Nothobranchius furzeri: one gene and its partners. The protein of the gene in region 2 interacts with the protein of the main gene of each other region in a biochemical or structural test. Links are inferred from orthologs where the notes say so. Each region holds a gene or a part of one and is shown on either strand. Other genes may lie near its edges. The genes, in order: endophilin-A1, dynamin-1 and itsn1.

The links.
Region 1: the proteins of dynamin-1 (region 2) and endophilin-A1 form a complex in vitro, tested with the Homo sapiens proteins (2 studies listed by BioGRID and IntAct, with this or other methods). The link is inferred for Nothobranchius furzeri from reciprocal best matches to the Homo sapiens genes DNM1 and SH3GL2.
Region 3: the proteins of dynamin-1 (region 2) and itsn1 form a complex in vitro, tested with the Homo sapiens proteins (2 studies listed by BioGRID and IntAct, with this or other methods). The link is inferred for Nothobranchius furzeri from reciprocal best matches to the Homo sapiens genes DNM1 and ITSN1.

The regions. Positions count from the first base shown.
Region 1 is NC_091742.1:89,729,609-89,733,257, forward strand, and holds part of endophilin-A1, read right to left. Parts: intron 2,324-3,649; coding exon 2,255-2,323; intron 1,744-2,254; exon of another isoform or gene 1,612-1,743; intron 1,538-1,611; coding exon 1,465-1,537; intron 1,393-1,464; coding exon 1,249-1,392; intron 1,060-1,248; coding exon 926-1,059; intron 845-925; coding exon 686-844; intron 1-685. UniProt on the Homo sapiens protein: Implicated in synaptic vesicle endocytosis. May recruit other proteins to membranes with high curvature. Required for BDNF-dependent dendrite outgrowth.
Region 2 is NC_091750.1:35,494,774-35,498,969, reverse strand, and holds the start of dynamin-1, read left to right. Parts: upstream 1-1,355; 5' UTR 1,356-1,508; coding exon 1,509-1,669; intron 1,670-4,196. Other genes in the region: FHF complex subunit HOOK-interacting protein 2B, read left to right, coding at 294-394, 493-595. UniProt on the Homo sapiens protein: Catalyzes the hydrolysis of GTP and utilizes this energy to mediate vesicle scission and participates in many forms of endocytosis, such as clathrin-mediated endocytosis or synaptic vesicle endocytosis as well as rapid endocytosis (RE).
Region 3 is NC_091752.1:40,932,793-40,936,441, forward strand, and holds part of itsn1 (intersectin-1), read right to left. Parts: coding exon 3,422-3,649; intron 3,340-3,421; coding exon 3,165-3,339; intron 3,079-3,164; coding exon 2,992-3,078; intron 2,914-2,991; coding exon 2,765-2,913; intron 2,681-2,764; coding exon 2,601-2,680; intron 2,524-2,600; coding exon 2,351-2,523; intron 2,272-2,350; coding exon 2,226-2,271; intron 2,080-2,225; coding exon 1,958-2,079; intron 1,814-1,957; coding exon 1,690-1,813; intron 291-1,689; coding exon 96-290; intron 1-95. UniProt on the Homo sapiens protein: Adapter protein that provides a link between the endocytic membrane traffic and the actin assembly machinery. Acts as a guanine nucleotide exchange factor (GEF) for CDC42, and thereby stimulates actin nucleation mediated by WASL and the ARP2/3 complex.

The DNA of each region.
Region 1 (3,649 bases), on a different chromosome or scaffold from region 2:
TTATCTTGTCATCATTTAACATTTAATGTCATGATCATGCCCTGACCTCTGTGTTTTCCTGTCTCCCTGCAGCAGCAGTCATCTAGCTGATTAATTCCACCTGTGCTGCTCCCTATTTAAGCACCTGGCTCCTGCTGCTCAGTGCGAGATCGTCTGCTGTCCTGCCAGTCCTTCGAGAGTTTGAACCTGCCTCCCTGTTCTTTACTGACCTCTGCCTGCCTAACCAAGGAACCCGTCTATTGCCTCAGCTCCAGCCTGAATCTGAGCACTCACCTTCATCAGCATTCCTCACCGCTGCTGTTTTCAGAAGGTCAGTCACTCTTCAGATGAAGACATCTGAATTATCTCCCTCGCTGACTGTTTTCTGTGTCCCGGGCCACGCCACCCGGAACCGACTCCTGCTGGTCCCGCTCACTTGAACAAGTCCTTTAATAAAATCTTTAAATCTTTCTCTGTGTTTGGCTGTTGTTGGATCCGGCTGATCGTCACTAGGTCTGACCGTGACATTTAAATCTAAATATTTAATTTTAATACATGAAACCTTTTTAAATTTTTGTAAATATTATGTACTTGTTTGACTTTTTAGTATAAATTAGGATTTCATGTGTTATGTTGGATATGAGGGAATGTATTTTCCCGCCACAGCTGCGTGTCTAACCAGTTCTTCAAGGACTGGGTCACTTACATCGCTCTCCAGCAGGTTGAACATGCTCTGCTCGGCTATCTCTTTGCTCTCGTCGAACTTCTCTAGCGCCTGTTTGATCTCCTCGTCCTGGACTTTCCCTTGACGCTTCTTCTTGTAGTCGAAGTCCAAACGACGGCCCTCCATCTTCTTCAGATGATGCTGCGAGGCGAGAGGAAACCAGTAACCATCTGATCCGGCTGACAGATCGGACCATCCACCGGGTCTGAATAGTTTATGCACCTGTATCTCCTTCAAGTCCTTGTCATGGAGGTTCTGCAGAGGGTCGATGAAGTTCTGTTTGACCTCCATGTCCAGAGCATCCTTCACCTCCCCGAGCTCCTTCATGGCCTCACCGGCGTCTATCAGCGCCGTTCCTGGAATCACGAGGAGAGAATCTGAGTTACTGTTAGAGTTCTTCTGGTTCTGGGTGGAAGATCTCTGGTCCTGGAACAGATGTTCTCTATTGTTGACTTACGGTCTCTTGAGTCATAATACAACACTAGACTGGAGGCGGAGTCGAGGCCAACAGCCAGTAAAAACTACATCTCCATGTCGGGACTCACCGAAACAGGACTCTTCTCCCAGCTCTCGTCCAAACTTCAGCATGGCGTCCCCCAGGATGGTCTCGGCCTGCGGGTACCCGGGCCCCTTCTCCTGGCCACGGATCTTGGACATAGTGTTGATCATGCTCAGCTTGGCTCTGGACGCTGGGAGGAGGGATCAGAGCGGTGAGTGGAGGTCACAGGAAGCTGCTGAGGGCAGCTTGGCATGCTTCTTACCTGGGTTGGGCTGAAGGTACTCTGTGGTTTTGGTCATGATGTCCAGAACCGCTCTGCTGGTGACGTCCACCTTCTGCGGAGGACACGTTTGGTAGAAACATCCCCGTTTACCCCCCGCTGTTCACAGGTTAAACGTAAACATCTCACCAGCTGTCGGGAGTTTTAAATAAAACCGCTGGATTTATCTGGACCGTGTGCAGAGTTAGAGGAGCCATTTCATGTTGGATCCCGTCATCCACTGCTGCTTCACCGCTAAATGATGTTAAAAACAAACGGTAGCTGAAACCAAACACCAAAATTAATAGGATGTTTTACATCTCATCTGTAAAACCGCTCCTTTAATGTTAGATTTTTAAAAGCACCGTTTAACCTAAATAAAAACCTGTTCAAGTTTTACTTCAGTAATAACAAGAACATGAATATTTCTATGAATTATTATAATTAATGATCAAATGTGTAGTTACTGTTATCTCCGTTAGGAATTTCCTCCTGCAGCTTTAAAAAAACTCCCAAATCCACTCTTAAATTTTGCGACGTGAAACCATTTTAGTACAAACACTTGTTTTCTCTCTAAACCAGGAAGTGACGAGTCTTTTTACCTCCTCATGTGGTGAAAGATCAAACACATGCACACCCACCTGATCCTTCTGCTGCTCACAGTTTAGGCACCTTTCAGTTGATTTTGGTTGCCATGGGGACCCTAATGGGCCACTGACAGTAGCTTTAACACTTCTGCTCACTTCTTCCACTGCCCCTATGCTTCAGGTCACATTTAAACAAAGCTAATTACCTTTTCCATTTCTTTGAAGTCATCGTCGAGTTTGGTTCCTTCCGCTCCTCCAACCTTCTCGCTGACTTTCTGCAGAGAGAAACCCACGTACACACAGAAGGAACGAGGGTTAAAACTGTCCCGTTTGACTCTTTAGGTCTATAAAATACCCATCTGTTTGCATTCGGGGCGATGATGGAGAGAAACCACAGTGCTGCTGGGAGATGAAAGTGTGTCGAATCCTCTACAGAACTCGGGTGTGAGATCAAACCCACGGGTTCATACGGGTGTAGTTAATAGATCATAATAAGGTACAGAGGGTAACAAACAGGCTAAATAATAGACTCAAGCTCACTAAGACTTCATTAAAATTATTTAATTCAACAGGTTAAAATAAATAAAGGAATGATAATTAGATGACAAGTAAAAATCTAGAAATCATGGTGGCGCAGTGGTTAGCATTGTTGCCTCGCAGCACGGAGGTTGCAGGTTCGAAACTCAGCTGTGGCCTTTCTGCGTGGAGTTGCGTGTTCTTCCCATGCATGCGTGGGTTTCCCCCGGGTTTCCCCCACAGATCACAACACGCCCTATAGGTTATAAATTGTAAGTCGCTTTGGATAAAAGCGTCTGCTAAATGAATAAACAAAATAAACAAATAAAAAATCAATCCGAGTCAGAAAACAAGAATAAAAGTATTAAAACAACAAGTTAAAGCTTTGAACACGTAAAATGTTCAAGAGCAGGTGGTTTCTGATCTTGTTTCCACACACAAACGGTCTAACTTGTGTTTGTTGCACAAAAGCCACGAGTGACTTTTCTTTAATGTTTTCACTGGGTGAATTCTCGTTTTCCCCGTGTTCGTGTCGAATAAAAGCCGCTCTTGCTTTTAGGAATGAATGACTTTTTTTTTAAACGGTTCTTTTTTCACCCAGATCCACATTCAGAAAAGAGTCAAAATTAAAAACACAAACTAACGATCTGATAAAAAAGCACCCATTTTTATGTAAACAGCAGAAATAAAACTTCTAACTTGAAACCAGTGTTAAAATCTTTTTTCATTTAGTTTCAGTCTTTTGACTAAAATTCTTATTAATTAAACGATGTTTCTCTGCGGTCATTACAACATTACTAATTTACACAGAAACACCGTTAAAATATGTCAAACACATCAACATCCTTTAGAAACGACAAATGAAAAGATGATGCTGGTTTTCCTGAGTGAAGCTCCTGCATTGAACTGGTTCCTCGTAATTTCTACTCAAGAGTTCATGAAACCTGTAATAAACACAATAAACATCATGTGTTCAGCTTGGCTGACTGCAGGTTTATTAGTTTTAAGTTCCGATTCTCCTCGGAAATAATTATTTCTGCTTAGCTGGCCACAAAGGGAGCAGCAAGTGCTGATCAGGGATGCTG
Region 2 (4,196 bases):
GTTGTTCTAAAGTGGTTAGACGAGTATCAGAACCAGTTCCAGTCACCAACTGGTTCTGGGCAGGTTCTCCTCTGGGGACATGGGTCTGAGAGGTGAGACAGGTGTTCCAGATGGAGCCCCACGGGTTCTGAGCACACCTTCTCATGGAAACCTGATCTGGACCCGGATGTTGCTGGATGTCCAACTAACCTGAACACTTTCAGACCCGTGGGTTCCCCTCAGGTTATCCTGCGGTGGAGGATTCCAGCTTTAGGACAGACTGATGAGTCTTGTCTCACCTTTCTGTTTCTCAGGTGATGGCAGAAGTGATGCAGAGGATCCAGCAAGTGTCTGACCTGTCCGAGCAGTTGTTGGATACCAGGAGACACCTGCTGGGACTGAGCCAGCATACTGGGTACCCGACTCACTCCGACACTAAACAGATCTTTCACAGATAATCAGCTGTTTGCCACGATTTTCTACCTGAGTTGTTTTCTGTGGGCGTGTCTTCAGATCGGAACACCTGACACTTCTCAAGGGGATCATCGTCCTTGAGGAGTTCTGTAAGGAACTTGCTGCAATCGCCTTTGTCAAGAAGCCTCTGAATCGAGACTGACTCGCCTGGAGCAGGAATCACCTGGACGTGTACCTCTGTGGGGATATCACCAGGTGCATCTCGCCTGAGGACCAGCAGCACGTGCACCTGAGGAACGCCTGGTTGAACCAAGAGACCAGTGTCTCACCTGAGTTTGGATAGGAGCCGACAGAAGTGGCATCTTGTCTTTGGGAGGCGATGAACCACGTGATCACCTTTTGTCACTATTTAAGCCACGCCCACTTTCTGTGCAGCTCGCTAAATGCCTCCTACCTGTAGTAAGGATTTATTACCTGTCAGCCAGTCACGTGACACAAAGGAACCCGACGAGGACAATAAAACTGAACAGGTCTCCGGAATCAAAGATCCAGACCAGGACCTGAGAGCTGCACCTGATCCAGGTGCAGCACCACCAGATTTACTGTTTTATTTCCTTAAATGTGTTTTATGTTAAAGACGGAATCCTCAAACCATCGTTGTGTTTCTCTACTTTCTTTACTCTTAAGCTCAGAGTCAGACACAGTCTGGGCCGACCAGAACCTCCACATGCCTACATCACTAGTGGTTCATGTGAACTCTGTAATGAGTCACCTGTTCTGATTCTTTATCAGGAATTGAATCGTTTTAGATCAGCAGTCTGGAACGCCTCCCAACACACCTGGTTTTAGGTGACTGACAGGCTTTTGACACCTGCTGAACAACTGAATCACACACTCCCTATAACGTTAGGATTTTCAAAATAAGGCTCTGGGACTTTTATTGTGAAGGTCTGACGGAACTCCGTGTGTGTGTGTGTGCGCGCGCCTGCAGCATCCTTGCGGCAGAGCAAAAAGGAGGAGGAAGTGAAGGTCACAGCTGCAGGAGCATCCTCAGCCTCCCGATCCATCAGCAGCTTGACCGGCCGGACCGAGCGGCACGCCGAACCGCCGCCGTCATGGGGAACCGGGGCATGGAGGAGCTGATCCCGCTGGTGAACCAGCTGCAGGACGCCTTCTCCTCCATCGGTCAGAACGCAGACCTGGACCTGCCGCAGATCGCGGTGGTGGGCGGACAGAGCGCCGGGAAGAGCTCGGTGCTGGAGAACTTCGTGGGGAAGTGAGTCCGAACCGGGCCCAGCGGTCTGTCTGCATGTGTGTGTTGGCAGAACCGGACCGGGTTGCTGTGTGTTACATCACGTGATTACGATTCGTGTTTGAGCTGCGATTCCGTTTATTCTCAAAACCGCTGATTGGTTATTGACGCTCCTGATTGGCCTGATGATCACGTGGTCAGTAACACCGGCATTAAGATCGCAGGTGAGACTGGTGAGACAGATCCTCACCTGATACGAAAAGGTGCGCGTGTCAGGTCACTGGATTAGGCAAAACTCAGGGATTAGCAGCAGGTGAGGAGGCGGACTGAGGTGGTCTTTGGGTCCTTACAGGTCCCAGTCCAGCTGACAGCCGCAGACCTGCGGTGGGATGACATTAAATAAGCGCCCCCCCCCCCCCAAGGTCTCTGTGGTTCTGCAGGTCTCTATAGGTCCCTGCAGGTATCTGGACCCTTGCAGATCTCCAGGTCCCAGCAGGTCTTTGTGGTTCTGCAGGTCTCTATAGGTCCCTGCAGGTATCTGGACCCTTGCAGATCTCCAGGTCCCAGCAGGTCTTTGTGGTTCTGCAGATCTCCAGGTCCCAGCAGGTCTTTGGGGTTCTGCAGGTCTGTGAGGTGTTTGAACTGTTTTCCACTAGACTGGATCAGAAAGACTACCAAATGTCTGACGCTCATTAGGAACACCAGACTTGCTGAAAGAATATTAAGTGTTGCGCGCGCGCGCTCGCACACACGCACTGATTATCTGAACTAGTTGAATTATGGCTGAATTTAAACCTAAACACTCATCAGGTTTTAGTTTTTCTGTCTCTGACCTGAGATCAGCGGTCAGCAGCGTCGGCTCCTGGGACTCGTCCGCTTGTTCCACGTTCATATATTTTGTTGGAGAATCAAGTTCAGAAGGTTTCTTAGTGCTGGTTCGTGATGTTCCAGTCAAATAAACGAGAGCATCGTGAGGTCTGGATGCGTTTAGGGTTCTACGTGCGTCTGTTTTATCACCGCAGAACGTCCCAGTGCTGGACAGAATGATGGGTCTTGAGATGTTTGGATAGAAGACCTCTTTAAGTCAGAATCAGAACAGCACAGGTCCAACATCTCCACCCAAACACTCTTCACAGGGTCCATGGAACCTTCAGCCTGTAGGTGGACAGAAACCAGCTCTGCCGAAACGTTCTGGTGTTTCTAAACATCTTTTGAATTCAAATTTTAAAATCTTTCTGACCAAAGCAGTGAATTAATCCTGGTTTCTGCAGCAAATCACTTCATTGGACACTTTGAAGTGAGAAGATCAGAGCTGAGGACAGCAGGTCTGAGGTCTGTAGTTTGAGTCCTTCTGAAAGCTGACTCCTGATTGGCTGATTATTTTTATCTTCGGCCTGGGGGGGGGGCGCTCTGTCTGGATCCCTGCTCTCATTGGTCGCTGCTGATCACATGATCCTCGACAGCTTCAGTCAAATCATGGCACGACAATACCACCGTGTGTGTGTGTGTGTGTGTGTGTGTGTGTGTGTGTGTGTGTGTGTGTGTGTGTGTGTGTGTGTGTGTGTGTGTGTGTGTGTGTGTGTGTGTGTGAGAGAGAGAGCTAGAGATCCACACCGTCTGAATTTTGTAATATTTTTCTTGAGCAGCAGCGTTTGTATAAGATTCACATCATGTTAAAATAGAATAAGTTTGTGACGCTCAAACTGGTCTGCTTCCTCGTTTAGCCGATACTTTTTACCAGGACTAAAGGCTTTAGGCAGTAAACTGTCATATTTTACTCATCATCCATCCATTTTCATCCGCTTATCCCGAGTCGGGTCGCAGGGGCAGCAGCCTGAGGCCCAGACTTCCCTCTCCCCAGCCACTTGGGCCCAGCTCCTCCGGGGGAATCCCAAGGCGTTCCCTGGCATTTACTCATCATACCAAACAAACATCTGCCCCCCTGTCAGCTGTTTCCTGCTGGAACAAACCAGTTATATTAAAATCTGAGAGTTCTGCAGCTGCAGGTGAGTTAGGATTGCACGGTTCTGGTGGGTCGACTGATCTAACACCGGACCCAAATAGGACAGCTTTAGGGACTCAGCTGATCAGGCTGTCGTCATCACGGACCAGGAAATCCTCACGGTCTCTAAAACTGTCACCGACCAGATCCTGCCATTAGTGGGATCTTTGAGAGCATCCTTTGTGTTTTATATGTCTACTCAGTAATCACACTCATTAATACACACCTTATCACGATCAATGCACTAATAAGTGCAATTGCTGCATAATTTGAAGATGTACATTCAATTCATCCATCCACTGATTTATCTCTTAAATGCCACATATTCGTTCAGGTTCTCATCTTATTCTCAGTTCAGAGTCAAGGATGCTGACGTGTGTGTGTGTGTGTGTGTGTGTGTGTGTGTGTGTGTGTGTGTGTGTACACGTACGTACGAGGATCTACATGTCTAAAAATATCTGAAATGTGGCTTTAATTCTCTATTTTGTCATTTCACCGGCTGTGCAGCCACTTTTCCTAAAGCGTGCTTTTGCCTGGGTCAGGGTTTAA
Region 3 (3,649 bases), on a different chromosome or scaffold from region 2:
TCAGTGTGTACATTGTATGTTAATTTTAGGACGCTCTGTGTGTGTGTCAGTGTGAGACGCACTCTGCAGGGAAGGCTGTGTGTGCTTGTACTCACACTGTGTGCTCGGATCAGTGTCTGTGGTCAGCTTGACGTAGTTGCTAGGAAACAGGCCCTCTCTCCCATTCAGCTCTCCTTTCCACCAATCACAGTCATCCTTGTTGAGCACTGTGATCACCTGACCCTTCTGGAAGGCCAGCTCGTCGTCGTTCTGGGCCACGTAGTCGTACATGCCGATCACCTGACACAGACCTTCAGGACAGGAAACAGGGATGATTAAAGCTGGATTGTTTACATTTATTCATGCAGCAGAAGCTTTGATCCAAATGACCTAAATTCATAGTTCTCCTGTGAGAATACACCGGAGTACCGAAGAAAACCCACATGCAAGGGGACAACATGCTAGCTGCAAACCGAAAGGATTCTTTCTTGGTCCTTAATGTAAAGCTGTAACTGTGACTGGCTCTTGCTGCTGCCACTGGGGGCAGGCTCAGAAATCAGAGCTCTTGGTTGTGGCTTTGTAGAAAGCTGCTTTGACAAAGTTTTATGAATAATGAACAGTACAGCTAATGAATCTTTAAGCTGTGCTTCTTGTCTATCACAAACTCCCTTTACCTTCTTTGGGAGACAGAAAATTAAATCTGGTATATATATATATACACACACACACACACACACACACACACACACACACACACACCAGATTTATATATATAGACATGCACGTTTCCAGAATGTCTAACTGACTATTGATGCTCTTAATGGTTAATAGTCAGTTAACCGTAAACGGCATGTAGGTGAGGTCTGGCTGAACCGTGAGTGAGAGGGAGTGCCTGTTGTTGATCTGACTGTGAATGCTCATGACATTTCATTTGCTGTCATGCTCAACTGCTACTAAATTACAGGTGAAGGGCACGAAAAGCAATTAACTGGACAAAGCTGTTATGTTGGGACAGCAGTAGCTCAGGAGGTAGAGCGGGTTGTCCAGTAATCGGGAGGTTGCAGGTTCAATCCCTGCTCTGGCCAGGCTCCATCATGTCCTTGGGCGAGACACTTAACCACCTTGCCTGCTGGTGGTGGTCAAAGGGGTCGGTGGCACCAGTGTTCAGCAGGCCTCGCCTCTGTCAGCGCGCTCCAGGACAGCCGTGGCTAAGCGTAGCTCATAATCATCAGTGTGTGACTGATTGTGTTGTAAAGTGCCTTGGGGGGTCGTACAACCCTAAGAAGGTGCTATACAAATACAGGCCATTTATATACACACAGTTATAACTGTTATGACCTCTGTGGCAGTTTCAGAGACGTGCCAGCCAGGACAGTCCCACAGCCGACAGATACCTGGAATAGAGCTCATCCAGAGATGACGTTTGACCACTTTAGCAACATCTGCCTCACAGACGGATCCATCCCAGGTCTCCCAGGTTTGGGTTGTTATGGTTAAGGAGCTCCAAAATGTATAACTCTCTCTTCCTTACCACCTTACAGCAGAAGTCTGTATCTTGCTTCCTCCTACCAACACTCATGAACTACACGTCAAGACTCTGCTTGAGGAAAAGACTCCACCCCGCTCCAGGGGACCTATTCCATCTTTTTCCTGAACCATAGCCCCAAATCTAAAACGGCACACAAACATGTGTTCTGGAGTAGTGTGTACCTGTGCTGGCAGGAGCCAGTTTGGGAGGAGTTGGTTCTGTTGGTGTGGTTTTGCTGGTGCTTGGACTCAGAAGCTTCACATAATTGGCTGGAAACCAACCAATCTGGCGCTTTTTCCCTCGAGCCTGGATCAGTGAAGTGACCACATATCAGACACTAATCCACAAACCTCATAAAAACAACAAAAACCTGTTCCATTCAAACCCAGTTTCTTATAGGGAGGTAAATAACCAAGTCAGACTTGACGCATGTGAACATGACTTGAGTACCTGGAGCTCGCCCTCCCACCAGCCCCCGGGGTTCTTTTTCCTGATGAGGATGAGCTGTCCTGGAGCTAGCGTCAGCTGCTCTGCTCCTGTTGCCGTGTAGGCTGCAATCACCTGAGCGATCTCTGAAAAAGAGAAGCGGGTTTGTTTTCCTGCTTTGGAGCTTTAACTACAAAAGTTATTTCCAACAGAATGCAAGGTAGATTCAGAGAAAATGAATTTACATCATTAGAGAAAAGTAAAAGGAACTCTTCAGGCTGTAAGCACTGACCTGGTTTCTTCCCCAGACTGCCGGTCTTCCCTGCGGGTCCCAGTGACTTCAGATAAGGATGTAGAGAGATTACAAACATTTCTTTCAAATGATCTGGAAACTAACTAATCAAAGTGAGCTCTCACTTCTATTGATGAATCGCGTGGCTTAACATAGTTGGACGGAAAGACTCCAGTCTTTCCTCCGACCGTGCCTGTCCACCAGTCTCCTTCCTTCCTGGTCACCATGACGATGTCTCCTTGCTGGAAGCTCAGGTCTCCCTGTTCTGTGCTCTCATAGGTGTACATGGCCACATATTCTGTAGGAAAAGAAAAGTAAAGTGTAAATAATAGATGCGTTATATTTGTGATGTACTGAAATGTTTCCATGAGGTACCTTCTCCGGTGTCGGAGGATTTTGTCGGAGAAGATGAGGGGCGTTTTCCATTGGGTGGGCTTTCTGACATTCCAGATTCACTAAGAGATGTGAGACATACGTAAATTCAAACTTTTGTGACTTTCATGGGATAAATATGGCGAGAGCGGAGGTTTCGACCCTACCTTGTGTTTTTATTTCGAGCTACAGTGCTGGGGGGAACGGTCACGTTGGCCGAGATGAGTTTGACGTAACTTTTGGGGAACCAGCCTCGTTGTCCATTCTGAAGTTCTCCCAACCACCACATGTCCTGCTGCTCCAACACTGTTATTATCTGCATCAACATTAACATCCACGCCATCAGGCAAATGTACAGTTTCCTGTTATCGTGTGGCAGTGATGAGGGTTCTACCTCGTTTTTGTTGAAGTTAAGGTGGTTGTCCTTCTTTGCTCTCCAGGGGTACAAAGCCTGAGCCTGGAGCCCTTCCACCTTCTCTCCCTGACAGACAGATATCGCAGCTCATGGTCATCTGTGACTCGTGTGATCAATGACTTTATCAATATCTGAGACAATGTTTCCACTACCTGTCCTAGTACAGGAGAGGGGGAGGAGCCTGTTGTCATAGTTGCAGGTGTGAAGGCGGAGCGTTGTCGTAGCTGTGCAGATGGAACACTGAGAGATGGATTCTGATTGGCTGAAGAAGTTGGCCAAGCGTCCCACCCTTCACTGTCTGATTGGCTTGTTGTGTTTGAGGGCCATCTGGAAACATTTACACAGAAAAATCTTCATTCTCATCCAAAAAGTTTTTAAGTCAGATCATGTTGTCGTGTGGGGGAATTACGTGGTGCTGAAGTCTGCCCAGTTACTGTTGCCAGATGATGTGGATGAGGAGGTGTGTCCAGGAGCCGGAGGGGGCGTGGTCATGGGCTGCGGGGCTGAAGTGGGTGTGGTTGAGGAAGTGGAGCGGAGGCTGATTGGGGCTTCGCTGTCGGGTATACGCTCTGCATAATTAGCTGGAAACCAACCGGTCCTGCCTCTGAGCTCACCCCCGAGCCACCCAGGCTCACCC